Linked DNA regions of Caenorhabditis elegans. The protein of the gene in region 2 purifies or fractionates together with the protein of the main gene of each other region. This does not show direct contact. Each region holds a gene or a part of one and is shown on either strand. Other genes may lie near its edges.

Region 1 (17,429 bases), on a different chromosome or scaffold from region 2:
TTTTTTTTCGAAAAAAGGCGAAAAATTACATTTTGAATTAAAATTTTAAAAATTTTTTTCCCATATTTTCAGAAAAAAAAACATATCTCTTCAGTTTTCAAAAATCCTCAAAATCGAATTTTTGAATATTTTTAAGTATTTTTTCAGGAAAAATAACCTTTTAAAAAATTTATTTTTAATTTTTCGATTTTTTTTTGAAAAATGGAAAAAAATTAATTTTTTTAAATATACATTTTGATCCATATTTTCAGAAAAAAAGGTTTTGTTCCACCAAAAAAAAATTTTTTTCTGTAAATTGTTTTATTTATGGGCTTTGCTCAAAAAATCGATTTTTTTTTTCGATTTTTTTTTCAAAAAATCGATAATTTTTTTCCCGCCAACACTCTCAATGCCGTACCATTCTCCGTAATCTTCTTCAACTGTTCAAAAGTCTTGGAGCACGTCCTGGTTCCCTCATGCCACACTTTTCGGCACTTGAAGCAAAATTCCCGGCCACAGCCCGGCCGCTGGCACTTGATACGCGGACACTTTTGACCATTGGGCACGATTACGGCAAATCTGCAAAAAAATGTGTTCAGTGGAGCGCGATTGCATATCAAAACTGACCCGCAATCCGGTGCGGGGCACCATCGAACATCCTGGATTCGGCAAAGGGCCATTCGAATGCTGAATGACTCGTATTTGGAGATTAGGTCCGTGTTTGGGAGCAGGTAGCGTCTGGAAAATGGAGCTACAGTAACCCTACAGTACCCCAGAATTGATCTACAGTAACCCGAAATATCCTTGGATTGAGTTACAGTAACCCTACAGTACCCCAGAAGTTAGTTACAGTAACCCGAGGTATCATAGGATTGAGTTACAGTAACCCCTAGAATCCCAGGATTGTTCTACAGTAACCCGAAGTGTCCTAGGATCGAGCTACAGTAACCTCAAAATTCCTAGAGTTGATCTACAGTAACCTAAAGTGCCTAGGATTGGGGTACAGTAACCCGAAGTGTCCTAGGATCGATCTACAGTAACCCGAAGTGTCTATGGTTGATCTACAGTAGTCTTCAGAATCCTAGGATCGATCTACAGCAACCTATAGAAGCCTAGGATTGAACTACAGTAACCCAACGTATCCTAGAACAGATCTATAGTAACCTACAGTAACCCAGAATTGATCTACAGTAACGCGAAGTATCCCAGGATCGATCTACAGTAACCCGAAGTATCCTAGGATTGAGGTACAGTAACCTTTAGAATCTTAGGATTTGGCTACAGTAATCCGAAGTATCCTAGAACAGATGTACGGTAATCTTTAGAATCCTACGATCGATCTACAGTAACCCTACCGTAATCCTCCAGTATCCTACAATCTACAGTACTCCAACCGTAATCTTCAGTAGCCCTACAGTAATCCTGTAGTAGCGATGAATTACTGCACTGAAATCTACAGTAACCCGACCATGCCCTACAGTAGCCCTATAGTATTCCTACAGTATCCCACTATATCTTATAGATCTACAGTAACCTACAACAACCCTTCAATATTCTACAGTACCCCTACAGTACTCCACTAGACTTTACAGTACCCCTACAGTAACCCCAACGGTATCCCTACAGTAACCCTACCGTATCCAATAGATCTACAGTACCCCTACAGTACTCACGTGACGTCATTCGGATGAATAACCGCCGGACATCCGCCGGGACACGGAATTTCGACACGATTTCCGAGAATCGATAGCTCCATGTACTGAAAAATACCAAAAATGTCTAAAAAATTTGAATTTTCCGGCAATTTCTCTACCTTTCGAATACAAATCCGGCAATACACGTGCCGACAATTAATGAGTTGACAAAATGCTCCGGCCGGCACCATTTCACAGCACAATTCGCATTCTTTCATCGCTCCGGACTCCTCCTGGGAAATAAATTTTTGAAAAAATCGGATTTTTTGGTTTTTTGGCGGGAAATTTGAAAAAAAAATCAAAAATAGGAACTTTTTGGCGAAATTTTGAGGGAAAATGCCTCCAAAAACAGATGCTCAGCAGCTGGGCTCGGGGCTCGGCGAGCAAATATTAGAAAATTTAAGCTTTAAAGGTTTTTTAGGGCTAAATCGGGTGGAGCAGAAGAATTTTCTAATTTTGAGCCCAAAATTCATTAAAAAGTCGTAAAATCCGCGTTTTTTTTGCCGGGAATTGCAATTTTCGCTCAATTTTCCTCTAGAAAAAACTCGAAAAACCTGAAATTTGAGCGCTTCGAAGCCAATTTCAACCGACGGACCTTCTTCGGACTGAAAATTTACAAAAATTAATATTAAAACAATCAAAAGAAAATTTCTTACAAGACTTCTTTTACTGATCCATAGTTTTCTCGCTTCCGACTGCATTTTTGGCCTGAAAATCAATAATTAGGTGCAAATAAGCGACTGATAACAGTGTGTAGGTCATTGATCAGCTGATAATAAAGAGATTATTGATAAAAAATGAGGAATTGTGGAAAAAATGGAGAAAATCGGCGGAAAAATGATGAAATTAAAAGATTTTCGTTCGAAATTAATTTTAATTCGCGCCGTGATTTACGCTAAACAACACGCAGAGGCGTTATTTCGGAGCATCGTTCGAACAAATTTTAAATTTTAAAATGTTTTAAATGCTTTTAAATTAAAATTTATTGATTTTTCCAGGTTTTTATTGTTTTTCGCGATTTTTTTTGAAATTTTCGTTGAAAAATGTTTAAAAATGCTGAAAATTATTGAAATTTTCACTAAAATCAAGTAAAAATGCGAAAAAACCGGTAAAAACACGCTCGAACACATTTAAATGTATTTTTCAATTAAAAACCCGATTTTCGAGTTTTCTGCGATTTTTTTCCCGTAAAATATGTTGAAAATAATTTAAACGCTCTATTATCCCACTAAAACCGAGTAAAAAATGCGAAAAAACCGAGTTTCGGCCTAAAATTTGAATTTTCAACGGAAAAGTGGGAAAAGGCATTTAAAAGTGCAATCAAATGTGTCAGGCGAGCCACAGTTTCCCACCATAACCATAAATTGGTTAATGGGAGTGTTAAAACGAGGGATTTTCGATAAAAATGGTTTTATTGAAGCAAAAGTGAGCAAATAAATAGTTTTTTTCAAATCCAAAAATCTCCATCTAACGCCGGGTTCCATCCTCAAAGAAGATTCCTCCATCCTTGGCGCAATACTTTGGACAAATTCCCCGTTCTCCAGCTCTTCCGGCTTTTCCATCGTGTCCTGGAACTCCAGGAACTCCATCTTCTCCATTCTCTCCGTCAGTTCCATTCTCTCCAGGTGCTCCCGGAGCTCCAGCTTCTCCATCTTCTCCAGGATGTCCTGGAGTTCCACGTGATCCAACTGGTCCAATGGCTCCCGGTGGTCCTTGTGGTCCTGGAGTCGGCTCACTATTCTCAGCGTTCTCTCCCGTCTCTCCAGTTGCTCCCGGCTCTCCGATCTTTCCAAGTGGTCCTGGACGTCCTTTCTCTCCAGCAGCACCGTCTGATCCCTTCTCTCCATTGTCTCCCTGCGATCCAGGTTGCCCGTCGGCTCCCGGGTACCCGGCTTGTCCAGGGGCTCCCTTTGGTCCTGCTGGGCATGGTGGGCATGGTGGTGGGGTTACTGGCTCACATGGAGCCTCTGGTGGTCTTCCTGGGTTTCCGTTGAGTCCGTTGGCGCCGGCCTTTCCGTTTGGTCCTGGACGGCCTGGAGGTCCTGGTGGGCCTGGTGGGCCTGGAAGGCAGCAGTCGTGGCACGTTCCTTCGGAGTCAGAGCCCGTGGTGGCGGTGTGTGGTCCTTCTGGAATTTTTTATTTTGTTTGGAGTGAAAATTTTGAAAAAATCGGATTTTCCATCGCAAAAACTCCATTTTGACCATTAAGTGGGCGGAGCTTATGTGACAATTTTTCACATTTTCTAAAGCCTGAAGCTGTATGAAAAATTCGGTTTTTTCTTTTTTTCGCCTGTCTAAAAGGCCTACAAGGCAGGCGCCTAGAAAGCCTACAACTCAGGCGCCTGCGAGCCTACAACGCCTACAAGGCAGGCGGCTCTAAAGCCTAAAACGCCTACAAGGCAGGCGGCTCCAAAGCCTACAAGGTTTACAAAGCAGGCGCCTAGAAAGCCTACAAGGAATGTGCCTAGAAAGCGTACGAGGCAGGCGCCTAAAAGGCTTACTAGGCATGCGCCTACAGGGCCTACGAGACCTACAAGGCAGGCGCCTAAAAAGCCTACAATGCCTACAAGGAAGGCGCCTAGAAAGCCTACAAGGCAGGCGGCTAAAAAGCATGCAAGGCATACAAGGCAGGCGCATACAGGGCAGATGCCTAGAAGGCCTTCTAGCCAGGCGTCTACAATGCCTATAAAGTAGGCGCCTGCTAGGCCTACTAGACAGGGACCTACAAAACCTACAAGGCAGGCACATAGAAAGCCTACAATGCAGGCGCCTAGAAGGCCTAGATCGCCTACAAGGCAGGCGCCTACGAAGCAGCCTACAAAGCCTACAGGGCCTAGAAGGCAGGCGCCTACAACGCCTACAAGGCCTACACGGCTTAAACCTCACCTTCAACTCCAACAGCAACAAACGGCTTATCCTCGTAGGCGGCCGCCGGGCTATTTCCCTTCACCTCCGCCGCAGCCGCATCTCCACCACTATATCCGACAGGCGTTGGCTTGCTCGGATGCACATCGTATCCAGCTTGACGGGCGGTACGGTTGCCTGCCTGTGCGAATGGGAAGCCGGCTCGCAGAGCAGCAACGTCATCGAAAATCTGACGAGCATTGACGTTGCACGTGGCCATCTCATGGGACATCTGACGTTTTACCGATTGGACGTAGGTGAAGACAACTGGCATTGTGACACAGAAACAGATCACCGAGACTGTGGAGAAGGTGACGGCGGCGTAGCCGATAAGGCGGTAGGCCTGGAAATGATATGGATTTTTAGTTTTTATAAGCTTAGAAGGCCTAGAAAGCCTACAAGGCAGGCGCCTAGAAGGCCTCTAAGGTAGGCGCCTAAATGGCCTAGAAAGCCTCCAAAGCAGTCGTCTAGAAGGCCTAAAGGGTAGGCGCCTAGAAGGCCTAAAGGATAGGCACCTAGAAGGCCTAGAGCGCCTACAAGGCAGGCACCTAGAAGGCCTACAAGGCCTACAAAACAGGCGCCTAAAAAGCCTACAAGGCAGGCGCCCAGATGGCCTAGAAAGCTTACAAGGTAGGCGCCAAGAAAGCCTACAAGGCAGGCGCCTAGAAGGCCTAGAAGACCCACAAGGCAGGCGCCTAGAGGACCTACAAGGCAAGCCTATACGGCCTAGAAAGCCTATTAGGCCTACTCGAAATAGACCGCTCACCTTAGTCTTCGGATCATCATCAACGTGCGTCTTCAAGCCCATTTCGCGAAGCAAAACGGGTGTGGAGAATGGCTTATCACCGCCTGCGTTGCGCATTTTAAAGCCGCCGAAAATCGCCAACGACCGGTAAATCGGTGAAAAAGTTGGTTCGCATGCGAGAGATAACGTAACGCCGTGGAGACGCAGAGTGTGTGGTCTATCGGATTTTCGGCGGAAAATGCTGGAAAAAAGTGTTCCCTAAAGACGTCAAAGATGATAATGAACGATATAATTAGAAGCTTTTCTATAAAGTTTTTTGTCATTGAAGCTGGAATTTGGCTGAAATTTGCCGATTTTTCGCAATTTCTGAAGCTTGGAGCTTAAAAAGCATCGATTCTGCTCGAAATTCCCTCAAAAAAACCCGAAAACCCATCAATTTCCCGAGAAAATCTTGAAAATTTGGAGTTTTTCCTCTTCGGGGCCGAGTTGGAGTTTTCTAGGCCACGAGTTGCATCCGCGCTCCATTGCGAATATGGTTAATTTAATTTATTTATTTCGAAGGTTTTCACCGGGTTTTCGTCGGTTTTCGCTCTTTTTCGCCAGTTTTTTCGAATAAAAATTGAAATTGAATGATTTTCAGCTCAAAATGTCTGCGCTCTACTTCAAAAAGCTACGAAAACAGCAGAATCCCGACGTTTCAAGCAGCGAAGATTCGGATTCCGACGAGGAAATTCCAAAAAAGAAGCAAAAGCAACAAGTAATCACAAAAAACGGCGATTTTTGCAAATTTTTAGCGAAAAAAACCGAAAATTTCCCAGAAAAGCACCAAAAAAATCGATTTTCAGAAGCCTGTCGCCGAGGAATTCGATGATTTCGTCGTTGACAGAGCCGTACGTGAAGAAGCGCCAAAAGAAGGAGCTTTTGAGGCAGTTGACCTGCTCGGAACATCCTATTTGGAGCCATATGAGATGGATAAGGACTTGCAGGAGCTTCTGGAAAAGTCAGTTGTCGGGCCGAAGTTTGAAGGCGATCATCAGCCTCAAAATAGGCTTTTAGGCCGGAATGCGGCCGCCAGGCTGAAGAAAGTGCGTTGAAATCGATGAAAATTCGATTAAAATCGCTCAAAATCCAATAAAAATCGCTATTTTTCCAGTCAGAACGCGAAAAAACCAAAGGATCCGCTTGGTTCAACCTTCCAGCGACGGAGCTCACCGATGAGCACAAACGAGATTTGGAATTCCTTCAAATGAGATCAACTCTCGATCCATTGGCTCATTATCGTCGAAATGACCGGGCTGTACTGCCGAAATACTTCCAAGTTCGAGAAAATTTAAAAAATTCCCAAAAAATCCGAGATTTTTCAGGTTGGACGAGTCGTTGACGCTCCAGAAGACTTTTATTCGAGTAGAATGGTGCGAAAAGAGCGAAAAAAGACGATGGTCGACGAGATTTTGCATAATGAGGAATCGTTGAGCAAAGCCAAGAAAAAGTACGGGAAAATCAAGAATTTTTGTGAAAAAATTCAAGTTTTTGCGTTTTTAACGTTAAAATCGTGATTTTTAGAGCAAAAATGAGCTAAAAAGGATAAAAATTGGCCGATTTTCACCCAAAACGGCGAAATTTTGCCAAAAATCCTGGAAATTGATATTTTTAATGCAAAAACTCGCTAAAAACGGTAGAAATTGACCGATTTTCACTCAAAACGCCGAATTTTTGCCGAAAATCCTGTAAATCTGCAGTTTTTGCGTTTTTTTAACGTAAAATTATGATTTTGGACTCGAAAACCCCAAAAAAATGCTGAAAATTGATCGATTTTCACTTGAAACGACGAAATTTCGTCGAAAAAACCCGGAAATGGACAGTTTTTTACGTTTTTTAACGTAAAATTATGATTTTGGAGCTCAAAATTGGCTAAAATTGATGGAAAATGGTGAATTTTCGTTACAATATGGTTTTTTTTTAATAAAAAAAACATTTTCCAAGATTTTTACCGAAAAATTTGATTTTAGGAGCAAAAAAAAGCCGAATTTTCAGAAAATTTCGCCGAATTTTGTCCAAAAATGGCGAAAAACCGCAAACTTTTAACTGAAAACACGATTTTTGACCAAAAAAACGATAATTTCAACGTTTTTTTCCGGAAAATAATCGAAAATTTTGAGAATTTCAGTATTTTTTCCTGAAAAATCCGCTAAAATCTCTGAAAAAAGCACAGGTTTTCCCCCCAAAAATCGATTTTTCAATAAAAAAAAACTCAATTTTTTCGGATTTTGAGCAAAACAAACGGTTAAATTGTGTGAAAATAGCTCAAAAATCACATTTTTCCTCCGAAAAAATCGATTTTTATATCAAAAAGCTCCAATTTTTCCATATTTTCCTTCCAGATACGCTGAAATTCGCCAAAAAGAGCAATCTAAACGACGTGGAGCATTCCAAAAATTCGGAAATCGCAAATCTCACAAGCAACAGAGAGAATCAAAAATGAAGAATAAGAAGAAATAATTTTTTTTTGTTAATTTTTTGAATTTTCACATTTTTTTTCTGGTTTTTGTTGGAATTTTCTTGTTATAGACTCGTTTTTTTGTTATTTTGTCGATTTTTTGCCCATTTTTCACTAATTTTCACTGGTTTTCACCCAGAATTACCTTTTTTTTTACCGAAAATTTCAGCCAAAAAAATGGCAAAAATTCAGAAATGTACGCGACGAGCACACAAAAACGGGAATGGACGTATACACCGGAAAAGTTGGCCGCAATGCGTTTGGAGGTAGAAAAATTGGAATTTTTTATGGAAAATAGGCTAAAAACAGCAAAATTTTCACTTAAAACACGGAAAATTAACAATTTCGGCATTTTTTATTTAAAAAATTCGGAAAAAGTTGAAAATTTAGTCATTTTTATTGGAAAAATTAAGAATTTCGGCATTTTTTATTTAAAAATTCGAAAAATTGAGCATTTATTTCATTTTCTCTGAAAAATTCAGGAAAAGTTAGAAATTTCAACGTTTTTTCCGGAAAAATTTATTTTTTTGTTTTTTTTTTCTGAGAAAAATTGAAAAAAAGTAGAAATTCCTGTAATTTTACTGAAAAATCTGAGAATTCCACCGTTTTTTTTCCGGAAAAATGGATTTTTTTTCGCTTTTTCCTAAAAAAAAAACTGAAAAAACCTGAATTTTTCCTCAAAAAATTAAAAATGCCCAATTTTTTTGCAGATAAACATAAAATTCCGTCAAAAATACGAGTCAGTAATGCAGCCGGACGAGTTGGAGCTCTTTGTGACACCTGAAGAGGAGCTCAGAATGCAAAGATCAATTGAGGATGCTGCTTTGAAGTTAGAATTTGCTGGATTTCACCGAAAAATCGGAGAATTCCCGTCAAAATTTCATGAAAAACGCGAAAATTCCGGCTAAAATTGGATTTTTAGCATAAAAAATCCGAAAAAACCATGAAAAAAACAATTTTGTACCGGAAAATGTGGAAAAATGCGATTTTTTCTCAATTTTCTGCATTTTTTGCACCAAAAATTGTGAATTTCGGTTATTTTCTATGAAAAATTGAGAAAATCGGAATTTTTGCCATTTTTCCGATAGAAGTTCAGAAAAAATGCAGAAAATTCACAATTTTGGCTATTTTTTCTGAAAAAAATTTTTTTTTTAGTTTTTTAGTCGAGAAAACCCCAAAAGAAAACGATTTTCACACGAAAAAACCTGAAATTTTCAATTTTCCCACTCAAATACCAAAATTTTTCCAGATTCGCCGACAAATTCCGCCCACACATATGGCCATCAGTGAAATGGACAGCCTTGGCGTTTTTCAAGCGGGCTTTTCTTGTCTGGGTGCCATCAGACACGTCGATTAGGGTAAAAATTGAATTTTTAGCTGAAAATTAGTCAAAATCGCCGAATTTTTGATTTTTAAACGAAAAAACCTATTTTTCGGGCCATTTTTGCCCAAAAATTGTCAAAAATTCAATTTTTTCATACAAACTTCCGAATTTTTTTTAGTTTTAAACGAAAAAATTCTGCGATTTTTGGTGTAAAATTGACTAATTTTCGGCTTTTAAACGCAAAAACCTATTTTTCGACTCAATTTTGTGTAAAAATTGCCAAATATTTTGTTTTAAACGCAAAAATCGGCAAAATTTTGATTTTTTTAACGCAAAAACTTGGATTTCAACTCATTTTCACTCAAAAATCGCTAAAATTTTGATTTTTAAACTGAGAAAACTCAATTTTCTGCCGATTTTTGCCCAAAATTCCCCGAATTTCCAACATTTTCCATCAATTTTCCATTAAAAATCTTAATTTCAGATGGTAATGATGGCTTGCTTCTACTTGGCAATGAAAATCGACGAATTCTACATTACAATCGAAGATTTCGTGAAGAATATGAAGTAAGTCCTGATAATCGCCGCTGGCAGCTACTCATTATCAGAAGTTACAGCGTTGGAGAACCTCGACAAAATGCCGAACGGATTTTGAAGCTGGAGCCGGAGCTTATGAAGATTCTCGACTATAATTTGACTGTACATTGCCCGTATAGGTACGGAAAATCGGGATTTTCCAGCAATTTCCGCTGAAAATACTGGAAAAATTCGAAAATTTCACGAAAAACGGAGAAAATTGGCATTTTTCCGGCTCCGAGACCTCAAAATTGCTTAAAAATCCAATTTTTGTCCGAAAAAATTCAATTTCATAAAAATAAGAATTTAGAGCTGAAAATGCGCTATAAAATCCTTTTTTTTCTTACAAAATACCCCAGAAAACCTCGATCTTGGTTCAATTTTTGAGAAAAATCTGAAAATTTCGTAGATTTCCACTAGAAAATGTGAAAAATCTCAATTTGCATACGAAAAAGCCAAAAAAATCACATTTTCCAGCTTAAAACAACCCTAAAAATGACAATTTTCAGACTAGAAAAGCCTATAAATCTCATTTTTCAGGCAAAAAACCTAAAAAAAAATTTCCATTTTTCAGCTGAAAAAAGCCCGAAAAAATTTCATTTTTAAGCCGAAAACCCGGAAAAAATCCAAATTTTCAGCCGATCAAAAACCAAAAAAATCTTATTTTTCAGACTAGAAAAGCCTAAAAATCGCCATTTTTCAGGCCATACGAAGGCCATCTAATGGATATGAAGACCCGAATGCTTCTTCTAAATTTCGATCTCGAATCAATCCGCCGCGATTCTATGAGATTCTTCCAGAATGCACTACAAACCGACGTGCTTCTCCTCTATCCACCGTCACAGATTGCACTGGCCGCCATTAATTTCGGGCTCCATGCTCAGGGTACGGCGAAGATCTCGAGAAATCGAAAATTTTGGGAGTTTTTGTGTAAAAATTCGAATTCCCCGTCATCGTATTAGTCTACCCTATAAGTTTCTGCTAAAAATCTCAAAATCCCGTCAAATTCGGTGTTTTGGGTTACTGTAGCCCGTGTTTGCGTACTCTCGGGGCTACAGTAACCCTGGAAATTTCAAAATTGCGCTAGAAACTCCAAATGTTCTTCTTTTAGAGCGGAATTTGACAGGAAATCCGAATTTCGCTGTAAAATTCCTAAAATTCGTTGCGTAAAGTGATTTTCTAGTTTTCAAAATTTTTGCCAAAATTTTTGTGTAAAAATTCGAGCTCCCCGTCATCGAATTAGTCTAACACAAAAATTTCAGCTCAAAATCTCAAAATTCCGTTAAATCTGGTGTTTTGGGGTACTGTAGCCCGTGTTTGCGTACTCTTGGGGCTACAGTAACCCTGGAAATTTCAAAATTGCGCTAGAAACTCCAAATGTTCTTCTTTTAGAGCGGAATTTGACAGGAAATCCGAATTTCGCTGTAAAATTCCTAAAATTCGTTGCGTAAAGTGATTTTCTAGTTTTCAAAATTTTTGCCAAAATTTTTGTGTAAAAATTCGAGCTCCCCGTCATCGAATTAGTCTAACACAAAAATTTCAGCTCAAAATCTCAAAATTCCGTTAAATCTGGTGTTCCGTGTTTGCGTACTCTTGGGGCTACAGTAACCCTGGAAATTTCAAAATTGCGCTAGAAACTCCAACTTTTCGTGTGCTATAGCAGAATTTCACGGAGAACTCGAATTTCAGATTTAAGATCCGAAAATCTCAATTTCCGATAGAAAAATTCAGCAATTTTGCACTAGTTTCAGGCAAATCCGACGAGATTCTACGCGAGTTTCTTCGGAAACTTATCGGAATCGAAGAGGACTCGTGGGCTCATCGTGATGCTCGTCCAGAGGATTTGGAAAAGCTCGAAAAGACGGTTACGAGGTAGTGAAGAGCACCGGAAAATTGCACATTTTCAATGAAAATCGCTGGAAATTGTCGAAAAATGGCAAAAATTTGACTCAAAACACAAAAAAAAACAGGAAAAATACAATTTTTGAGCCAAATTTTGGATTTTTTCAGAGAAAAACTAACGAAAATGACATAAAAATCGTTTTTAAGTGGAAAAAAAATACCGTTTTTAGTGGTAAAAATTGACAACAAAAACAATTTTTCACTAAAAATAGTAAAAAATCGCCATTTTTTGACAGCAAAATTGGGTTTTTAGCCTTAAAATGTGTATTTTTTCCCCAAAAATTTGCATTTTTATTTGCTAGAAACCTGAAAAATGAAGCTTAAGCTCAAAAATTCGGGCAATTTTAATGAAAATTTTTGAAAAAAATCTATTGAAAACCCGATTTTTCGCGTAAAAATATGTAAAATTGCGAGAAAAATCCGAAAAAAAACCATTTTTCGCATAAAAACCGCTCGAAAAAAGTGAAAAATCGGTTAATTTTTGGCTAAAAGGTTTTTTTTTCAAAGCTCCGGCGATTTTTGAAAAAAAAAATTAATTTTTAGTTTAAAAAACCGCTGAAATTTGGATATTAATCAATTTTTCTCCTAAAAAATCCAAAAATTTTCCAGAGTCAATCAAATAATGCGAGAAGTCGATCGAAATTTCGTAGCAGTGACAGAGCAAGAACGGGAGAATCACAAAAGCCAGCTGGCACGGATTCAAGCATTGATTCCAGCACTTGATGAACGACGAAAAGAGCAATGGTTGGCTGGTGGAGGTGTTGGATTGATGCCTGGAGAGCTCGCCGAGCAGCCAGTTGATTCTGATGACGAAATTAATTGATTTTTGCTTTTTTTTTTCGCCTTGCTCCAGAAATTCTGCTACAAAATGAGCAATTTTTAACATTTTTTGGTCTAAAATAATCTAAAAAATTGGATTTTAATCTCTAAAAATTTAAAAATTCGAAATTTCCGTATTTCGACTTTAAAAAATTTCAAAAAAAATCGTTTTTAATTTCTGAAAATTAAAAAAAAAAAAGTCTGTTGGCCTGAACATTTTGAAAAATTCGAAATTTTTTGTTTTTCATTTCAAAAAATTCGTTTTTAATTTGCAAAAATTAGAAACATCGTAAAAATTTCGTTTCTAGTCTCTAAAAATTTTAAAAATCGAAATTTTTATTTTTCGAATTTTAAAAATTCCAAAAAAGTTTGTTTTTTATTTATTTTTTCCCTAAAAATTCGAAAAATCTAAAAAATGTGTATTTTGAATTAAAAATTAAAAATTTTCGTTTTTGAGCTTTAAAAATGTTTAAAAATCCCAAAAAAAGTGTTTTTTGTCTTAAAAATAAGCCTAAAAATTGCCTGAAAGCTGAAAATCACCGAAAAAATTTTTCGGAATTTTTCCACTTTTATCTGCTATTTTTCAACAGTTGTTCAGTAGTTTTTATTTAAAAAATGGGCAAATTTTCTGATTTTTTACTGAAAAATATGAAAAATTTGACGAGTTCCAGAAGAAAATTAACGAAAAGCCACAAAAATTTGCATAAAACTATCGATTTTTTTCTTACAAAAATTCAGTATTTTTTTCATATGAAAAATGAAATTGTTTTAAAAAAATTTAAAAAAATCCGAAAAATTATCGATTTTTTAAAAACCAAAAAAAATATTTGAAAAAAGTTGAAATTTCTAAAAAAAAAACTACATTTTGTTCAATAAATTCGATTTTTAAAAAAATCGAATTTTTTAAACAAAAAATTATATTTAAAAATCGGTATTTTTCGAAAAAAAAATTCCAATTTCTTATAGCTCATTTTATCGAAATTTCTGGAGCATTTCCCCCTATTTTGTTCAAAAAAATCCCTCAATTCTCTTATATTATCGGGTATAATTTTATCATTTTTATCATTTTTACTGTGTAACTAATTTCCCTATGAAAATGCTCAATTATTTATTAATTTATTGTTTTTTCCCTCAAAAAATCGATAATTATCATTAATTTTGCACTTGAATGATGAGAATTGGCGGCGCGTATCCCATTTCTCCATTATTATTATGATCATTGGCTGAAAATTGTAATTTTTATTGTATTTTTAAAAAAATAATTATGCCCCTCTCCTCCAAAAAAGTAGGAAATTTTGCTAAAAAATTTGCGATTTTTCTGAAAATCGTGTCAAAATTCCCAAAATTTTGAGCAATTTTCCAGTAAAATCGATTTTTTTTTCTTTAAAAAAATCGAAACTTTTTTACAAAAATTCCCCACATTAGGATCCTTCTGATAAGTTCCAGAATCGGCAATCTTGGCATGCCGAATCAATACGGATCCATTTGGGAAAAGCTTGAAATTCGATGAATCCACCACTCGACCCTCACCCATTTTCCACGATTTCTCCCTCTTCCGAACGACATTATCTGATTGCCAGCGGCGACGGTTCGTTTGAGAGCCGAGGAGCCTACGGCGTCTTCGATCAGAAATGAGTCGCCAACCTGGAAAAAGAAGCCGAAATTCGAATTCTCCGTGAAATTCTGGTCTAGAAAACGAAAAGTTGAAGTTTCTAGCGCAATTTTGAAATTTTCGGGTTACGGTAGCGCCGAGAGTACGCAAACACCGACTACAGTACCCCAAAACACCAGATTTGACGGAATTTGGAGATTTTGAGCTGAAAATTATGGGGTAGACTAATTAGATGACGGGGAGCTCGAATTTCTACATAAAAAATTTTGAAAACTAGAAAAAATAGGTTTTCAGTTAGAAAATCATTTTACGCAACGAATTATAGGAATTTCATGACAATATTCGGATTTCTTGTCAAATTCTGGGTCGGAACGCAAAAAGTTGGAGATTCTAGAGTAATTTTGAAATTTTCAGAGTTACGGTAGCTCCAAGAGTACGCAAACACCGACGACAGTACCCCAGAAACACCGGATTTGACGGAATTTTGAGATTTTGAGCTGAAAATTATGGGGTAGACTAATTAGATGATGGGGAGCTCGAATTTCTACACAAAAAATTTTGAAAACTAGAAAAAATAGGTTTTCAGTTAGAAAATCATTTTACGCAACGAATTATAGGAATTTCATGACAATATTCGGATTTCTTGTCAAATTCTGGGTCGGAACGCAAAAAGTTGGAGATTCTAGAGTAATTTTGAAATTTTCAGAGTTACGGTAGCTCCAAGAGTACGCAAACACCGACGACAGTACCCCAGAAACACCGGATTTGACGGAATTTTGAGATTTTGAGCTGAAAATTTTGTGGTAGACTAAATTCATAGCGGGGAATCCGATTTTCACTATTAAAATTTCATAAGTATATTTTGAACTATAGAAAATTGAGTTTTCAGCCAGAAAATCACCTTATGCTACGAATTTTTAAATTTTCACTACAAAATTCGGATTCCTCGTAAAATTCTGGGTAGAAACACAAAAAGTTGGAGTTTCTAGCTCAATTTTGAAATTTTCGGGTTACGGTAGCTCCTAGAGTACGCAAACACGGGCTACAGTACCCCAAAACACCGGATTTGACGGAATTTTGAGATTTTGAGCCGAAAACTTAGGGATAGACTAAATTGATAGCGGGGAATTCGAATTTCGTAACCAAATTTTGATTAAAACTTGCGAAACTACAAAAATCTTAAAAATTCGGTTTTTTACCTTCAGTAGAGCTGTCGCAATTGAAGCATTTGATAGAACCACTATCAGTGCCAAGATGGCAAGAATTACAGTAGTTTGGGACATTTTTCAGGGCTGGAAATCCTGAAAACTGACTGAAAATTCAAAAATTGGATATTTCTTTTATAGTGTGAGGAATTTTCATAAAAAGTGGTCATAAATTTTGGTATTCCCACATTTTTGCATATATTTTGAACCATGATTCATGTGGACAAATTGTGATTTTTGAGCACTTGGTTTAGGAATGTAGGCACGTAGGCACGTAGGTACGTAGGCACGTAGGCACGTAGGCACGTAGGCACGTAGGCACGTAGGCTCGTAGGCACGTAGGCACGTAGGCACGTAGGCACGTAGGCACGTAGGCACGTAGGCACGTAGGCACGTAAGCACGTAGGCACGTAGGCACGTAGGCACTTCATAATGGTGCAACAACATTATTATAGTCCCTCTCAATCCGCAATTTTCGCTTCAAAGCTCTGATAATTCCAAAAAGGAACCATTTGAATGTGAGCAGTGACTGCATGATTTTCACATTCCGCTTGTTACAATAAATATAAGAAATTTGAATTAAAAGCGGGGTTGTCGCAAAATTTATCACACTGAGCATTATGCAGGCCTGAAAATTCGAGAGAATTTCGAAAAAAAAATTAAAAAATTACAAACCAGCTTCAAAAATCCATAATATCCCTGATCGATGATCATTACCCCGTTAAATACAATAAACGGGAAGGTTACCTGAAAAATAGCACAATTTTAAGAGTTTTCAGTGCCTACGTGCCTACGTGCCTTCGAGGGCGCCTTATTTTACGTAACATTGAGCTATCGGTCTGAAAATTTTGGAGTAGACTAACTTGATGCTCAGGAATTCAAATTTTGCTATAAAATTCACAAGAGAAAAGGTTAAAGTTGAGAAAAATACGACTTACAAACTTCGAAACACAAATTGTGATTGCCTGGTACATAATAAGCCTATCCGTCTGATTTTCCACCACTGACGCTATATTCGATTTTTTCCGAAGACTTATAAAAATTGGAACATATAAAAATGCAGATAACGTAGCAATAACTTCCAAATAGTAATATATTGTCATATATAAACTATCAAAAGAAAACGGAAAATTATATCCAGGCTCCAGATAGCTTTCATTCCCAAAATCCCAAGAACCATTACCCAAAAATGGCAAATTTGAATAGGAAAATCGAAAATCCGTTTCTAAAATTCCAACGCCAAGGTTTGCAGCGAAAAATCCGAGATATAGCAGAATTATGATCCAGGACCAATTTTTTTGATTTAAAATCCATTTTTTGCCGAATCTATCCGAATAATAAATAAAAAACCGCTGTACTGCAAGTAAGGTGAGCAAAATGTTGAAAACTGGGAAAATGACGCAGGATATGAAGTAGTAGTGATATAAAACGTCGAACAAATCCAATTCCAACATGTTCATGATTCTGGAACAGGCTTCTTGTTGTTTAGCAGAAAATTTCACACATTTCACTATTTGGAACTTTTTTGATAGCTCCATTCGCTGAGGAGTTATGAGCGTTTGAAAATTGCGGTGCGAGAGATAGAGGGGGAGGGGAGACGTAGAGAGTCAGAGTGTCTCGCTGTCTGCGTCTCTCCTCCCCGCAGGCTCTCTCGCTCTAAACTTTGAGCGCCTGTATCTCTGTAGTGGTTAGAGATATCAAAAAACTTCCTTCTGCAAAAATATTTAAAATTTTACGCTGAATATTTAGAAACTAGAATCAAAACTACAAAGTGGCAATATACGTCTGAAAATCTGGAAAATGGATAGAGATAGAAGAATGTTGTCAACTGACAAAATGTTAAGCAGACAATTTGACACATTTTACTATTTGGAACTTTTTTGATATCTCTACTGGTTAAGGAGTTATGAGCGTTTGAAAATTGCAGTGCGAGAGACAGAGGGGGAGGGGAGACGCAGAGGGTCAGAGTGTCTCGCTGTCTGCGTCTCCCCTCTCCCTCTATCTCTTGCACTATCTCTTGCACAAAACTTTAAACCCCTGTATCTCTGCGGTGGTTAGAGATATCATAAAACTTCCTTTTACAAAAATATTCTAAATTTTACGGTGAATATTTTGAAAATAAAACTTTGTCTATAAAACTTTGTAAAACACTAAAATCTAGTACTTGAACCCG
Region 2 (13,434 bases):
TTGGTTTTTTTCCAAATTAGTTAAAATCAATTTAATTATTTAATTTAAGAAAAAATGAAGGAAAATCTAATATCACTGTCACTATTCGAGAATAAATTCATTTCGAAAATCGATCCCGTAAATCGGCACAAGAGCTACAGTAGTCATTTAAACAATTACTGTAGTTTTCGCTACAAGATATTTTGCGCGTCAAATATGTTGCAAAATACGCATTCTCAGAATTTTGTGTTATCGTAATATTTGAAGCGTAAAACTTTGTAAAATACTAATGTATGTGCGCCTTTAAAAAGTACTGTAATTTTACAGTACTCTTAAAATTGAAAATGCTGTGGAATTTTTATCGACTTTTCGTAGTTTTTTATCATGATTTGTTGAATAAAATTGATGTGCTTTCAATTTTTAATTCTTAATTTAAAAAACGATGAGAATTTCATGAAAATTCAGTACTAACGAAATTTTGAAATAACAGTACTCTTTAAAGGCACACACTCGTTTCTATTTTACAAAAAAGGGCGTGTCGAGACAGAGATCGCAAAATTGGCGTCTGGGTAATATTTTACTTGAAGTTTCTCTTTACAAATGTAGCATGAAATCATTGTTACCGAAGCTGGTGTAAAGATTCCTCCGATCTCCTTCGCAACATCGGCTCCTTTTGACTGTGGAAGATCAAGAATAGCGACCTGTGCACCAGCCTTTGCCAAAACTTCGGCAGCACCCTTTCCCAGTCCAGACGCTCCGCCAGTGACGAGAGCAACGAGACCCTGAGAAGATAGAACGTAGGGTTTTCAGATAACACTTTCAATTTTGGAGCAAGTATTCAACCTTTTCAAGCTCTTAAACTCACCTTAGTGCTTCTGAGTGCCGACATTTGTTCCCGTTTACCTAAATCATAAGTGTGTTTGATTAAACATTCAAAATCTCGAACTAAGACGGAAAGTATTTAATAAAAGAAATCGCAACGAAATTCGAAAATAATTCTTGATAACAAAAGCATATTTCTCTCGAAATGTTTATAAAATTAAATTTTTCTTTAAAATAGTTGACGAATAGTATGGATTAAAAGTGGAATATGGGTTAAATACAATGCTTAATGCTTTTGTTTCAGGGATTTTTTCCTGCAAACGTGTAGCTTGCGACAGAAAAGAGAAGTAGAGATAAACAGTAAAAAAGCGATGAGAGATAACTGTGAAGCAGGAGAGATAAGAATGGGGGAACGAGGTGGGACATATTTATGGTGACAGCTCAAAAAATCAGAAATCATAGAACATGAAGAATACACAAACAGAGAATAAATGTTTATGGGGACATGAAAATATTTGGAGCAGACTAGTTTTGATCACTCGTCGTCTTCTTCTTCCTCATCCTCGTTCGAGAAGCGGCGAGTTGGACGAGACTTTCGACGGCTTGATGCTGGTTCCTGGAAATTAAATATTAGACTTAAAGACATTAAAAAAGTTCAAGTAACCTTCTTTTGTCCAATGATCTCCTCTTCTTCATCTTCTTCCATTGGGTCTTCACTATCTTCCGATTCCTTCTTCTTTTTCGGTGGTGGTGCACTTGCAGACGATGTTGATGGTTCATCATCTTTCTTAGCTTCCTCGGTCTTTACAGAAGACGAAGTTTCTTTTTTCTCGTCCTTTTTGGGGGTTACTTTAGTTGAAGCTTGTGCACGTTGAGCTAGCATAGCCGACTGCATATATTGAAGCATTAGGGCTTGATTTCCACCGGTCTGTGTCATCAATGCCTGTTGAAACTGCTGAGCCTGTGCGGGTGGAAGTGATTGCATATGTGTCATAAGCATTAACATTTGCTGAGCAGTTGCCTGTTGTGTCCGCTGAAGATCTGACACACTTGGAGTGCCACTGGTTGAGGGACGAGAAGATGAAGTTGATGGGGTTGAAGGTTCTTTCTTCTTGACTGGTTCTTCTACTGGCTTCGGTGGATTCATAAACTGAAAAAGTAATGTAAACTTCGAAATTTCAAAAATCAATCATACCTTATCGTATTGTTCCTTCCACAATTTTCCGATTGTTTCAGAGCTAACATAAATCTCACTGCCTTCTTCGTTGTATGTTTGAGCATTGTTCACAAGCAAATTCATATCATCATTCAATTCTTCCATAACCGTATAACGTCCTGTTTCGATCTTTTTGTTGATTCGATCGAAATCCATTGGTTTGGAAATCACTTGATAATAGTCCGGCAGTTCTTTACGAGTTGGAAGTGTCTGGAATACATCCGCGATGAGTTCTCCATCCTCATTTTTATATTCTAGAATAACATCAAGCATTTCATTGATTTTTTCTGCCAATTCTGGATCCGTCTTCTTCTTCTTGTGTTGTAGAACAACGTCATCCATAGAATCATCATTCTCGTCCAATCCAGCCATTTTACGTTTTCTTTGCTTTTTACGTTCAGCCACAGCTTGATTATTTTCATCCTCAACTTCCTCAACTTGTTTCATGAACTGTTCATCGGACAAAAGATCGGAAGAGTAGTCGACCTGAAAATGAATTAATATTGTAAATTCTCTTATATATTCCTTACCTCTCTTCTGCGTCTTCTCTGATTAGGAGTTTGATCAACAACTTCACGACCTTCCTCTCTGGCTCGTTCCATTTCCTCATAATCGAATGACAATTTGAGAATATCGTCTGGAATTTCATGTTCTTCTAGAAGACGGGGTTTACGGTGAAGTTGATTAGCTTCTTCACGACGACGATCAATATCCATCGATTGGAAGATATTAAATTCTTCCTCTGAGCGAGCAACCATCTGATTCACAGTTTCATCATCTGGAACTTCCTCTTCTTCTTCCTCTTCTCCGTCTGCTTGAATAATTTGTTCGAGCATTTGCTTTCTTTCAGCTCCAGTTGAACGTTGATCGAACTTTCCTGCTTGAATAACTTTCTCGTCGACATTCAACTTGTAGCGAGCAGCGGCAAGAATTTTCTCTTCAACAGAGTTAGCTGTGATGAGACGAAGAACTCGAACTTCTTTCTTTTGTCCGATACGATGTGCACGATCTTGAGCCTGCATATCCTGATGAGGATTCCAATCCGAATCAAAGATAATAACAGTATCAGCAGTTTGCAAATTGAGTCCAAGACCTCCAGCTCTTGTAGAAAGCATGAAAAGGAACAAATCACTGTTAGGAGCATTAAACTGTGTCAGCAGATCTCCACGCTCGTCTGGTTTAGTTGAACCGTCTAAACGGAGGTACGTGTATCTTCGGAAATTCAAAAAGTCTTCGAAAATGTTCATCATAGACGTCATCTGGAAGAACATCAGAATTCGATGACCTGTTGCCTTTAGTTTCGGTAGAATACGATCGAGAAGTTCCAACTTTCCAGCAACACGCATTAGATCGGTTCCATTGACTTCGTTGACCTTCCAGTATGCACGGCAGGAATCTTCAATATTAGGGAAAAGGAACGGGTGATTGCAAAGCTTGCGAAGATGCACGACAGTGTTCATCAACGAACGTGCTCCAGATGACATTTTAGCGTCGAGAAGCAATCCTTTCTGCATATGACGATAAATAACCTTTTGCAAAGCAGACTGGTCACACTTGATGACATACTCGGTCTTGTCAGGAAGCTGTGATTCTACTTCCTTTTTGAGACGTCTCAGCAAGAATGGACGAAGAACCTTGTGCAGTCTTCTGATGATGAGCATCGTCTCTTCTTGATTCAGTTCTACTTTCTCTCCTGTAGTCGCAAATGGAGCATTGAACCATTGTTCGAAAGTTCCACAAGATGAGAAGATCGATGGAAGTAAGAAGTTCAGCAGAGCCCATAGCTCAGGAAGTTTGTTCTGAAGTGGAGTACCAGTAAGAAGTAAACGATGCTGAGCATGGAAGAATCCGTTCAACATCAATGTCAATTTACAATTGTGATTCTTCAAACGATGTCCTTCGTCGATTATCATATACTTCCAACGGATTTTACCAAGCAGTGCTTTCTCTTTGATCACATATTCATATGTTGTCATCAAAACGTTGAACGCTCCTTTTCTGATTTGTCCTTCAACACGACGACGAGCATCTTTAGTTCCTTTATAGATGATAGTGGTTACAGATGGAGCCCATTTAGCAAATTCGTTCTGCCAATTGGACAACGTGGAGAGCGGTACGATGACAAGATATGGTCCATTGTTTTGTTTGACTTCCATCAAATACGTCACCAACGAGATTGTCTGAAAATTAAAAATTGATTAATATTTCCTCATTTCCCAAATTCCTACCTGAATAGTTTTTCCTAGACCCATTTCGTCGGCGAGGATACCGTTCAGATTGTTGTTGTATAAGGAGACCATCCATTCCAATCCCTTAATCTGATACGGTTTCAGCAGAAGATTCGGATCACCACCACCCATCGTTGTGTGTTGCTTGACAACCTTTTCTTTGATTTTGTGAGCAGTTGCATAGTAATCAGCCATTTGCTTTTTCGTTTTCTGATCATATTCATCCTCTTCGTTACGTGCCTTCTCGAGGATCATCTTAGCTTTTGTCTCTTCATCCATTCCAGCGTACTGATCATCCTTCTCTTCTTCTGGTTCCACTGGAGCCTCTTCCTCTTCCTCTTCTTCGTCATCACTAAGCTGATCACGTGGAACTATCTCATATTCTGGATGAGTTTCAAGCCAAAACTCAATTTCTTCAGTCTTTGGAGCTTGATCTCCAGTAAGCGCTTTTCCAGTGCTTCTCTCCCGAACGTGAACCCTGGCTTCCTCATCCATTTGATTTCCTTTTTCAATTTTCTTATCTTCCTTCTTCTTTTTCTTTTCGGTATTTTGATGTTGACGAACAAGTGAGCACAGAGAGTCGACGTACTCATCGGTTTGTTGAAGAAGATACACAAGACGTTGATCTTTCTTCTCATCAAGAAGAGCACGATATCCTTCTTCATCTTCTTGCATCAGTTTTTGCATACGAAGTTTTTCATTTCGAATCTCGTCCTTCTTGCGTTCACGTTCATTGTTTTGATGATATGTCATGACTGCCTTGCGAGACTTTGCCATTTTCAGAAGATTGTTTCTGAAAATAATTTAATTAGTAGGAGAACTTTCTAAATACAATCTCACCTATGATACTCCTTGAATTCCTTTCCATGCTGAATGATAGCTTGCATCAAATCAGTATGCTTCTGCCTTCTCTTTCTTTCTTGCTCCATCTTTTGTTGCTTCTCAAGCTTTTCGGTAACACGAGCTTCGCGTAAAGATTGCCGCTTTGTGCGTCGATACGCATATGGATTGAGTGCAGTTTCGAGAGTTGTGTCTCTTTTGAGACAAGCCATCACTTCACTGCGCACCTAAAAACAGCTTATTGGTTAAAATACTCTTCGAATCCAGAAATTACCTGAGTTTGGAGATTGACAAGACGTAAAGCACGCAATTCGATTTCTGCTTTCAATTTCATGTGATCTGGAATGTCGGCGGGTAAGTTATTGAGTAGCTTCATGCGTAGCCCGATTCTGTTTTGAATCATATTTTCTCTTTGCTTGAGCATGCCAACAGGATCAATTCCTGATGGAACAGAAATTGTTGTTGGACGATTACAGCGTATTTGATGGAGATTGAAAATCTGTAAAAAAGTAGACTGTATAGTTTCATTCGATCCATTTTACCTACCTTCATCAAATCATACGGCAACTTTTCTCCATTCTCTGCCTCTCCTGGATATTCATAAGGTTCAGGCAACAAAGTTGTAACTTTTGGTCGGAGCATGACAGCATCCGCAATCAAGTTGGCCGGTACTTGTTCATTTCGAGCCAAAAGACGATAGGCTGACACTTGAGCCCTCAGTTGATTGAGTTGTGCTGGGGTAATTTGTTGATTCCCGCCATTTTCCTGTCCTGGAACGGCGTCTGGGAGACCAGATTGGAGTTTTTGCTTCAAAAGAACTGCTTTGGCGTGTCGATGGTCATTCTGAAGACCTTGTTCCTCCATTGAAGTTATCGCATTTTCCAGTTTGGAAATTGTCAGCTCTTGGCCTTGAGCTCCATCACCAGCTTGCTGAGCAACAACTTCACCGGCTGGTTGCGGTGGTTGAGCAGTAAACTGCTCAAACGCCGGCCTTCCGCTCATTCTTCAAAATTCCAGCAATTTGATACACTATCTTCTTTCAAATTGATAGTCTGAAACAATTATTAATTCAGAATTTTAGATTCAATTGAACATTCAAGATAAACAAAAAGTATTGCGGTAATAGTATATAAGCGAATTTCAGAAGAAGCCTGCGTGAATAATAAAACCGAGGACAATATATAGACTTTCCATCCATCCTAGTGCAAAAAGAGTAGGACTGATGGAACCGAGAAATAGCGTGCAAGTGAAAGAGAGATGTAGTGTATTGCAGGACACAACTTTCGGCGCGCATTCAAAATTTCTAGCGCATATAAAACACGGAGAACTCTTCGGGGGCCCTTTGTGAGCTAGTGAGATAAGAAAAGCTAAGAAAAAACTAAAAGATTGACGATTTCTAAAGATTGTGAAAAAATCGATAAGTAGTGACGTGTACGAATCGACTTTTCATGAATCCTGAGAGGTTTTTTCGTTTTCCAACGACGTATAAGTGTATACTGATAACTAGTATCGCTTGATATCGTGAAATTCGTCTGAAAACCGAGAAAATCCATGAAAAATGGTCTAAATTGTGTGTTAGACTAAGCAGCTGGGGAAGAAGAAGGTTTGAATGTATGCAGTGGACGCGCCGAGCGTCGATTGGCCAGAGAGGCAAAGTGAGGAGAAACACTATTGGAAATGGAGAGACGCAGACACTCTGCATGTCTGCCTGCATTGGAAACGGGCCATTGCGGCGGAGAGGACAAATGAATGGGAAAAGAGACAAGAAAAGAAGGAATAGTGGAAAATACAAGAAGACTACGGTAGATATAGACCATATCAGAGCTTCATTATGACTATTTGAATAAAGTATTTGAAGGAAATTTAATATAGCAAAAATATTTCAGCGCAACAACATTTAATGCTAGTTTAAGAAAAAAATGAATACTATACATAAATTTTATATTCTATAAAAATCTTCTTCGACTGCGACGAAATGAATGGTGCAGTCATTCGCTTCAAAATTGCATTTAAGCTGTGGTTTTTCGGCAGGGATTGAGAAAAACCGAGTTATATTTAAGAAATGCATTTTAAAATATTTTTTGAAGAAAAATGTCAATTTAAGAATATAGAAAAGAAGATCGAACATTGAGACTCGTCGGCGCCGAGTATTAAAAATCTGACGAAAATTACAGTACTACTCCGATTCGCTGCGGGACCCGTGCTTTATTTTCACGTATGGTCCTTTCGATTATTGACTTTTTGTATCTTGCAGCTGGAGCCTTATTAGCTTGCGTCCAAGTTTTATCAAAGTTTTATTCCATTTTATCTGTATTTTTGTTCTACTAATTAGTTTAAAGCATGTATGAATATTCTTTCAACCCAAATATCGATCATGAGCCCGGATCTGTAAGCTTAATATTGCTGATTCAAATCTAATTTTGCAATTTTCAGGTAGAATCTCAACAATCCACTATTTATTCGGATTCTGATGATTCTGATGACAGTTTTCTTGACGATGAAGTAATACCACCGAAGGAACAAGCTATGAGAAAAATTGAATTCGCTCTTGCAGATATTAAAAGGCAAATGGATAACAAAGAGAAATCGTTGACTTTGAGAATGTAATAAGTTCCTGTTGAAAATGTTTGAGTAATTTTGTTTTTTTTTTCAGATCGACTAGTAAATCACATTTTTGCCTTCGTTATACAGCAAAGAGGAAAGGAAAATTGGATAGAGATTTGCACTGTCTTCACCAAGTTTATGATTTGCTCGAAAATGACAAAAGATCAACGAAAAGAGAATTGTATTATGAACATAAAGCAGTTTATGGAAACCAGAAATATTTAGACAGTTCAATAAAATCAATTTGTGAGCTTTTGAATGAAAGTCGGGCTAATTTAAACATTGTCAGTGTGACATTAATAAACAAGAAATAATTTCCAAATTTCAGCTCTCTTGTGGACGCGGGATAATTCGTGGAGCAATTACTTTTTTAGTTGAGAATGTTGGTGTAATTGATGCGAGAGTTCAAGAAGTTTTGATCACAGGTAAGGTAATAAAAAACATTTAAAAATGATCAACGCTGGTGTTTCAGATGCACTGTTATTTTCGAATATAATATCAGAAGCCGATTTCATACTTGTTGTTGAGAAAGACACAACTTTTCAAAAATTAATGGATGAAAATTTTCAAGCAATGTTTCCACGTGGGATTCTAGCAACTTCGAAAGGATATCCGGATATTGCAACTCGAAATGTTCTGAAAATGTTGAGTGAAAAAAGAAAATTTCCAATATACGGACTGTTTGACGCTGATCCGCATGGTGAATTTTTAATAAAGGATTTAAAAAATAACTATATTAAAAATAGTAATACTTAAATTCAATTAAGGTATTGAAATCTACTTGACTTACAAATATGGACCTACGAAAGAATTTGCCGAAGGCCGAGGAGCCTTTGTTCCAACGATTGAATGGATCGGGTAAGACGATTTTATATTTATTTTCATAATTTCAACAAATTTCCAGTCTTTTCCCAACTGATTTTCATCGTTTCACCATCGATCAATCACAATGTCTTCCATTGGTTCGAACTGATTTTGTGAAAATTGAGAAGATGATTCCTCGATCGATTCAACTCGGAGAAATAGTGGTGACACGAGAATTAGACTGGATGATTCAGAATAAATTTAAAATGGAACTTGAATCAATAAATATGTGCGGACAGGAGTATATGGCTCGATTCTTGATTGCTCCGAGAGTCATGTCGATAGAAAAAGAAATTCCGATTCAACCAGAGACGATTATAAACGAGTACCACGAAGATTCACAATGTTCGCTGTCGACAGATGATGATCGGGAAGCAAAAGACGATGACTATATAGATTCGGATGCTGAAGAAAAGTTCCAGAATATGATAGATAATGATAGTGATTGAAAATAATATGAAACAGATTTTATTTTAGTTTCAAATGCAATATATTGCAATTACAACCACAAAAGGGGAAAGGAACCGTAAAGTGTTCGAGAAGTACTGAGACTGAGAAGTGGGGGGAGAAACAACATTAAATAAATAGAAAACAACACAAGTTATCTTATCTTATCACAATATCATCGAGTGCATAAAGCTAATGGAATGGGGAGATGTTTTACATTGTTTAGAGCTCAGAGTGCTCCTCCTCAATCGTTGTTTCTTCAGCGGCTTCTGGCTCTGGTTCAGCCTCTTCAATATGCTGTTCGGTTTCAACTTGAGCATCTTGGGAAACATCGAGCGATTGGCGAAGGACAGCTTCGATTCTATCAGCAAAACCAACTTGATCTTGAAGTGAGAATCCAGAACGAAGAGTGGCAGTTTCGAAGAGAAGCTTGGCAGTAGAAGCAGCGGTGGTATCTTCTTCAGAAGCAGTGACTCTCTTGAGAAGCTCCTTGATAACTGGATGGCGTGGGTTAATCTCGAATGTCTTTTTCTGAGTAGCATAGAAGTCTTGAGTTGGATCCTTTGCCTTAGCATAAGCTTGCGACTTCATAATGCGCTCCATGTTTCCAGACCATCCGTAGGAAGAGGCAACAAGGGCAGATGGTGATTTGACAAGACGTTGAGAAACAACTGCTTTCTCGATCAGATCCTTGAGTGCAGTTTCCTTGAGCCAGTCAGTAAGTGGCTTGAACTCCTCTTCAAGACCCTTGTGGGCTTCCTTGGCCTTCTCTCCATCATCGATGGTAACTCCTTCCTGAAAAATAGCATGTTGATAGGTAAAACATCATAGCCACTAAAGAAAAAAGCCTTCAATACTCACCTTAGCCACATTTTGGAACTTCTTTGATTCATATTCTGGCATAGCTTGAATACAGTACTCATCAACAGCTTCGGTGAGGAACAAAACTTCGTATCCCTTAGCGATGAGTCTCTCTACGAATGGAGAAGTTTCAACTTCCTTTCTGGAAGTTCCAGCCATGTAGTAAATGGCGTCTTGCTTTTCTTTCATTCTTTCGACATAGGCGGCAAGAGTAGTTGTTTTGTCAGCATCATTAGAAGACTGGAAGCGGAGAAGTTTAGCAAGACGCATACGGTTGGATGGATCCTCCATAACTCCCAACTTGATATTGGTAGAGAACTCGCTCCAGAAGTCATCGAATTGGGCTCCGTCGAGTTTCTTGAGCATGTCGAGCACTTTACGGACAAGTTTCTTCTTGATAACCTTGAGAAGTTTGTGCTGTTGGAGGTTTTCACGGGAGACATTGAGTGGGAGATCATCTGAATCAACGATACCGCGAATGAAGGAAAGATACTTTGGAAGCATATCGGCAAAATCGTCAGTGATGAAGACACGACGAACGTACAATTTGATGTTTTCGATAACTTTTCCGTAGTTCTGAAATAACATTATTAGTTGAAAATAACTAAACGCAATTAAAACAAATGCTATATAACTTTCAATATTCTTACCTGGAACATGTCATTTGGAGACTTCTTTGGAACGTAGAGGATAGATCTGAAGGAAACTTCTCCTTCAGCACTGAAATGCACGTGACTCAGTGGCTCTTCCGAATCCTTGGTGATACTCTTGTAGAATTGCTTGTATTCGTCTTCTTCGACCTGATTTGGTTTGCGCATCCAAATAGGTTTAACGTTGTTGACCTTCTCCCAATCCCAGGTGGTCTTCTCAACCTTCTTGGTTTTCTTTTCTTCCTTCTCTTCTTCAACAGCTCCGTCTTCAGTGGTGGCTGGTTCCTCTTCAACTGCTTCTTCCACCATTTCAGTTTTGGATTGCCAGAGGAAAATGTCAAAGTTGATGAATTGGGAATACTTGTGCACCAAGTTCTTGAGGGTATCTGGCTCCAAGAAATCTGCTGCCTCCTCCTTGAGGTACAATGTAATCTGAGTTCCGCGCTTCAATGTGTTTCCACGTGGGTCTTTGCTGATGGTGAAGCTAGCTGAATCAGATTCCCAAATGTACTGATCATCATCGTTGTTCTTGGTGGTTACGACAACACGGTCGGCAACAAGGAAGGCAGCGTAGAATCCGACTCCGAATTGTCCAATAAGATCTTGTTGCTGGTCAGAAGAAGTGGCAGTGTCCATAAGTTTGGATAAGAATTCTGAAGTTCCAGAGCGTGCAATAGTTCCCAAATTGTTGATCAAATCTTGACGAGTCATACCAACTCCTGTGTCGGTAATGTGAAGAAGGCGGTTTTCACGATCAGCCTTGATTTTAACAGACATCTCTTCAGTCTCACGGAGTTGCTCTGGATCGGTGAGGGAAAGAAGACGAATTTTGTCGAGAGCATCGGAAGCATTAGAAATAAGCTCACGGAGGAAAATCTCCTTATTTCTGTAGAGAGAGTTGATAATAAGTTTCATCATTCGGTTTACTTCGGCTTGGAATTCGTGTTTCTCGGCTTTTGAGCGGAGCTCCTTGATCTGGGAGACAGATAGTCCATCGAGCTTGATCGAATCTTCCTCTCTGAAAATATTATTTATCAATTTCAATTTTTTTTGTTAACTAGTTATATTTTTAAATTGTTTTAAACTGTATTGTGTTTTAATTGTACAGTTTTGATCTTTAATTTTCCAAAATTTTATCAGAAACCCTAGAAAATAATGCGTTCACTTCTAATCCGTGTATGGCATCCCTAATACTACACCTTCCATTAGCAGAAGATTAAATCTTGTGATTCGTATCTCCGTCCTTGACAGGCTATTACGTGAATCTAGGAAAGCATACGTTAAATTATCTAGGTCGGAGATAACCCTTTTAGTCTCTCTTGACCCTTCAGCCGATTTTTCTTATTTGAGAAAAAGGAAACACAAACAAGATAAGATAACCTAGCAGTAGATCGAGTCTGTTTGCATTCCGACAAAGGGCAAGACTCAATCAAATAGTGCTCCGCGGGAGTACAAAATAGTGTGCAAAACGGATGAGAGTCACCAAGTGGACTGACGCGACCTGGTACCGTTCAAAAGTTTTGGCTGAGGCCGGGGGTAGACAAATATTGAGATAGTTCAGAGTAACCAGGAAAAGGAACAGACACGTAGTGACAGGTCAATTTATTTGGAAAGTGGAAGAAAATGTGATTTATCTTTTTGGAACACTTAATCCAGCTAAAACTGTAACTATTCAATATTAAGAGCGAAAAACGAATTCGAAAGATATTTCTGATATATTAGATCTAATTAAAAATTAACAAGGTTATTGATTCTGATTTCGACATATTCACGAAATTGTTCAAAAAATGTACGAAACACAATTCAAAATTCTCTAGACTTTTTCAAATTGCAATTTTTCATAATAATCAAATTATCAAAAATTACCTTGTTTCTTCTTTGGTTTCCTTTGGTGCGTCTTCGATTTCATCTTCGGCGTAGACATTTGGAATGAAGGCTGAAAAGTGATGATTGTTGGGAATAAAAACGTGAATTCAAAAACTGCGTGGCGTGTATGCACAGAATGAAAAAATAAAGCCTAATGTTTTTATTCTGTGAACACAGTTTTAATATTTTCAGCGTACATTTAAGCTTAAAAATTTTTTTTACAATTTCAAAACTACGGTTTTCTATTTAAAGCTCACTAAGCTCTGAAAATCAATAAAAAGACATACCTGAAACAGCCAGAAGGGCGACGAAGCCCACCAAAAGGAATCTCATCGCCGTCTCTTCCTAACGACCGAGAATAAATGGAATGAGGTGTCTTTCCAACGGTCAATTACTCCCCTTTTCTCTCCGCTTGTTTGCTTTCTTTCGCCGGGGCTCACCCCTTCTCGACGTGTCCCTAAAAGTCCCGCCCCAATTTGCAAGTGCCGCACAGTGTCTGCGTCTCTTGCAAACACGTTGTCCTTCACTGAAAACTGCAAACTGCGGCGCGTTACTAGTTGCAAACAGAGGCGGAATCAGCCAATCAACGACCGAGACGACAGCTCAGAACACGTGGAGTGAGTGTCCTGGAACATTGTTTTTGTTTGCCGGATCCAGCAATATGGAATATGTTAATTTAAAAGACGATTTTTCAGTCTTTCTATTATAACAGTCACTCAAGTAATGTTCGGATCATCTAAATTAATCCTTATAGAAATTAATCATCTCACTTGTCTTGAGAATTTGTGAAATTTGTGATCGTTACTCAGCAAACTTACTTGTTTATCCGTCTCATAAACCGGTTTCTCATCTCAATCAGGCAATATACCTCCATTTCTTAATCTCAGTTTTTCCAGTTGGGAATTCAAACCTTTCGCGACATGGCTGAAGCAGCGACCGAAATCCCGCCGACGGCTAGCAATGTCACAGTTTTTACATTCGAAGAACAGGTGAGATTTTTACTGAAATTTTGTAAAATAAATGAAGTGGACAAGTATAAAATTACAACGAAGTTTTT

Evidence for each region.
Region 1: the proteins of spo-11 (region 2) and cyh-1 fractionate together in Caenorhabditis elegans (co-fractionation; one large-scale study listed by BioGRID). This does not show direct contact.

What each region holds. Positions count from the first base shown.
Region 1 is NC_003280.10:3,497,007-3,514,435, forward strand, and holds cyh-1 (Cyclin-H), read left to right. Parts: upstream 1-8,012; coding exon 8,013-8,084; intron 8,085-8,528; coding exon 8,529-8,647; intron 8,648-9,067; coding exon 9,068-9,176; intron 9,177-9,626; coding exon 9,627-9,709; intron 9,710-9,750; coding exon 9,751-9,858; intron 9,859-10,421; coding exon 10,422-10,603; intron 10,604-11,463; coding exon 11,464-11,590; intron 11,591-12,229; coding exon 12,230-12,443; 3' UTR 12,444-13,539; downstream 13,540-17,429. Other genes in the region: Y49F6B.9 (RBR-type E3 ubiquitin transferase), read right to left, coding at 398-558, 607-717, 1,653-1,738, 1,793-1,906, 2,228-2,278, 2,330-2,374; col-71 (Cuticle collagen 71), read right to left, coding at 3,141-3,799, 4,559-4,919, 5,343-5,438; Y49F6B.2 (Fcf2 pre-rRNA processing C-terminal domain-containing protein), read left to right, coding at 5,968-6,078, 6,167-6,406, 6,475-6,639, 6,686-6,810, 7,703-7,820; Y49F6B.19 (TransThyretin-Related family domain), read right to left, coding at 13,540-13,662, 13,970-14,083, 15,251-15,334; srz-5 (Serpentine Receptor, class T), read right to left, coding at 15,684-15,884, 15,932-16,003, 16,195-16,720, 17,421-17,429.
Region 2 is NC_003282.8:11,118,727-11,132,160, reverse strand, and holds spo-11 (Meiotic recombination protein spo-11), read left to right. Parts: upstream 1-7,298; 5' UTR 7,299-7,425; coding exon 7,426-7,473; intron 7,474-7,518; coding exon 7,519-7,688; intron 7,689-7,738; coding exon 7,739-7,973; intron 7,974-8,017; coding exon 8,018-8,114; intron 8,115-8,161; coding exon 8,162-8,389; intron 8,390-8,456; coding exon 8,457-8,547; intron 8,548-8,593; coding exon 8,594-9,002; 3' UTR 9,003-9,028; downstream 9,029-13,434. Other genes in the region: ard-1 (3-hydroxyacyl-CoA dehydrogenase type-2), read right to left, coding at 603-761, 845-868; SWI/SNF chromatin remodeling complex core catalytic subunit swsn-4, read right to left, coding at 1,337-1,417, 1,466-1,951, 1,997-2,503, 2,548-4,197, 4,246-5,038, 5,086-5,312, 5,360-5,584, 5,632-6,087; enpl-1 (Endoplasmin homolog), read right to left, coding at 9,223-9,795, 9,862-10,437, 10,512-11,529, 12,378-12,447, 12,665-12,710; imp-2 (Intramembrane protease 2), read left to right, coding at 13,298-13,366. UniProt on the Caenorhabditis elegans protein: Required for meiotic recombination. Mediates DNA cleavage that forms the double-strand breaks (DSB) that initiate meiotic recombination.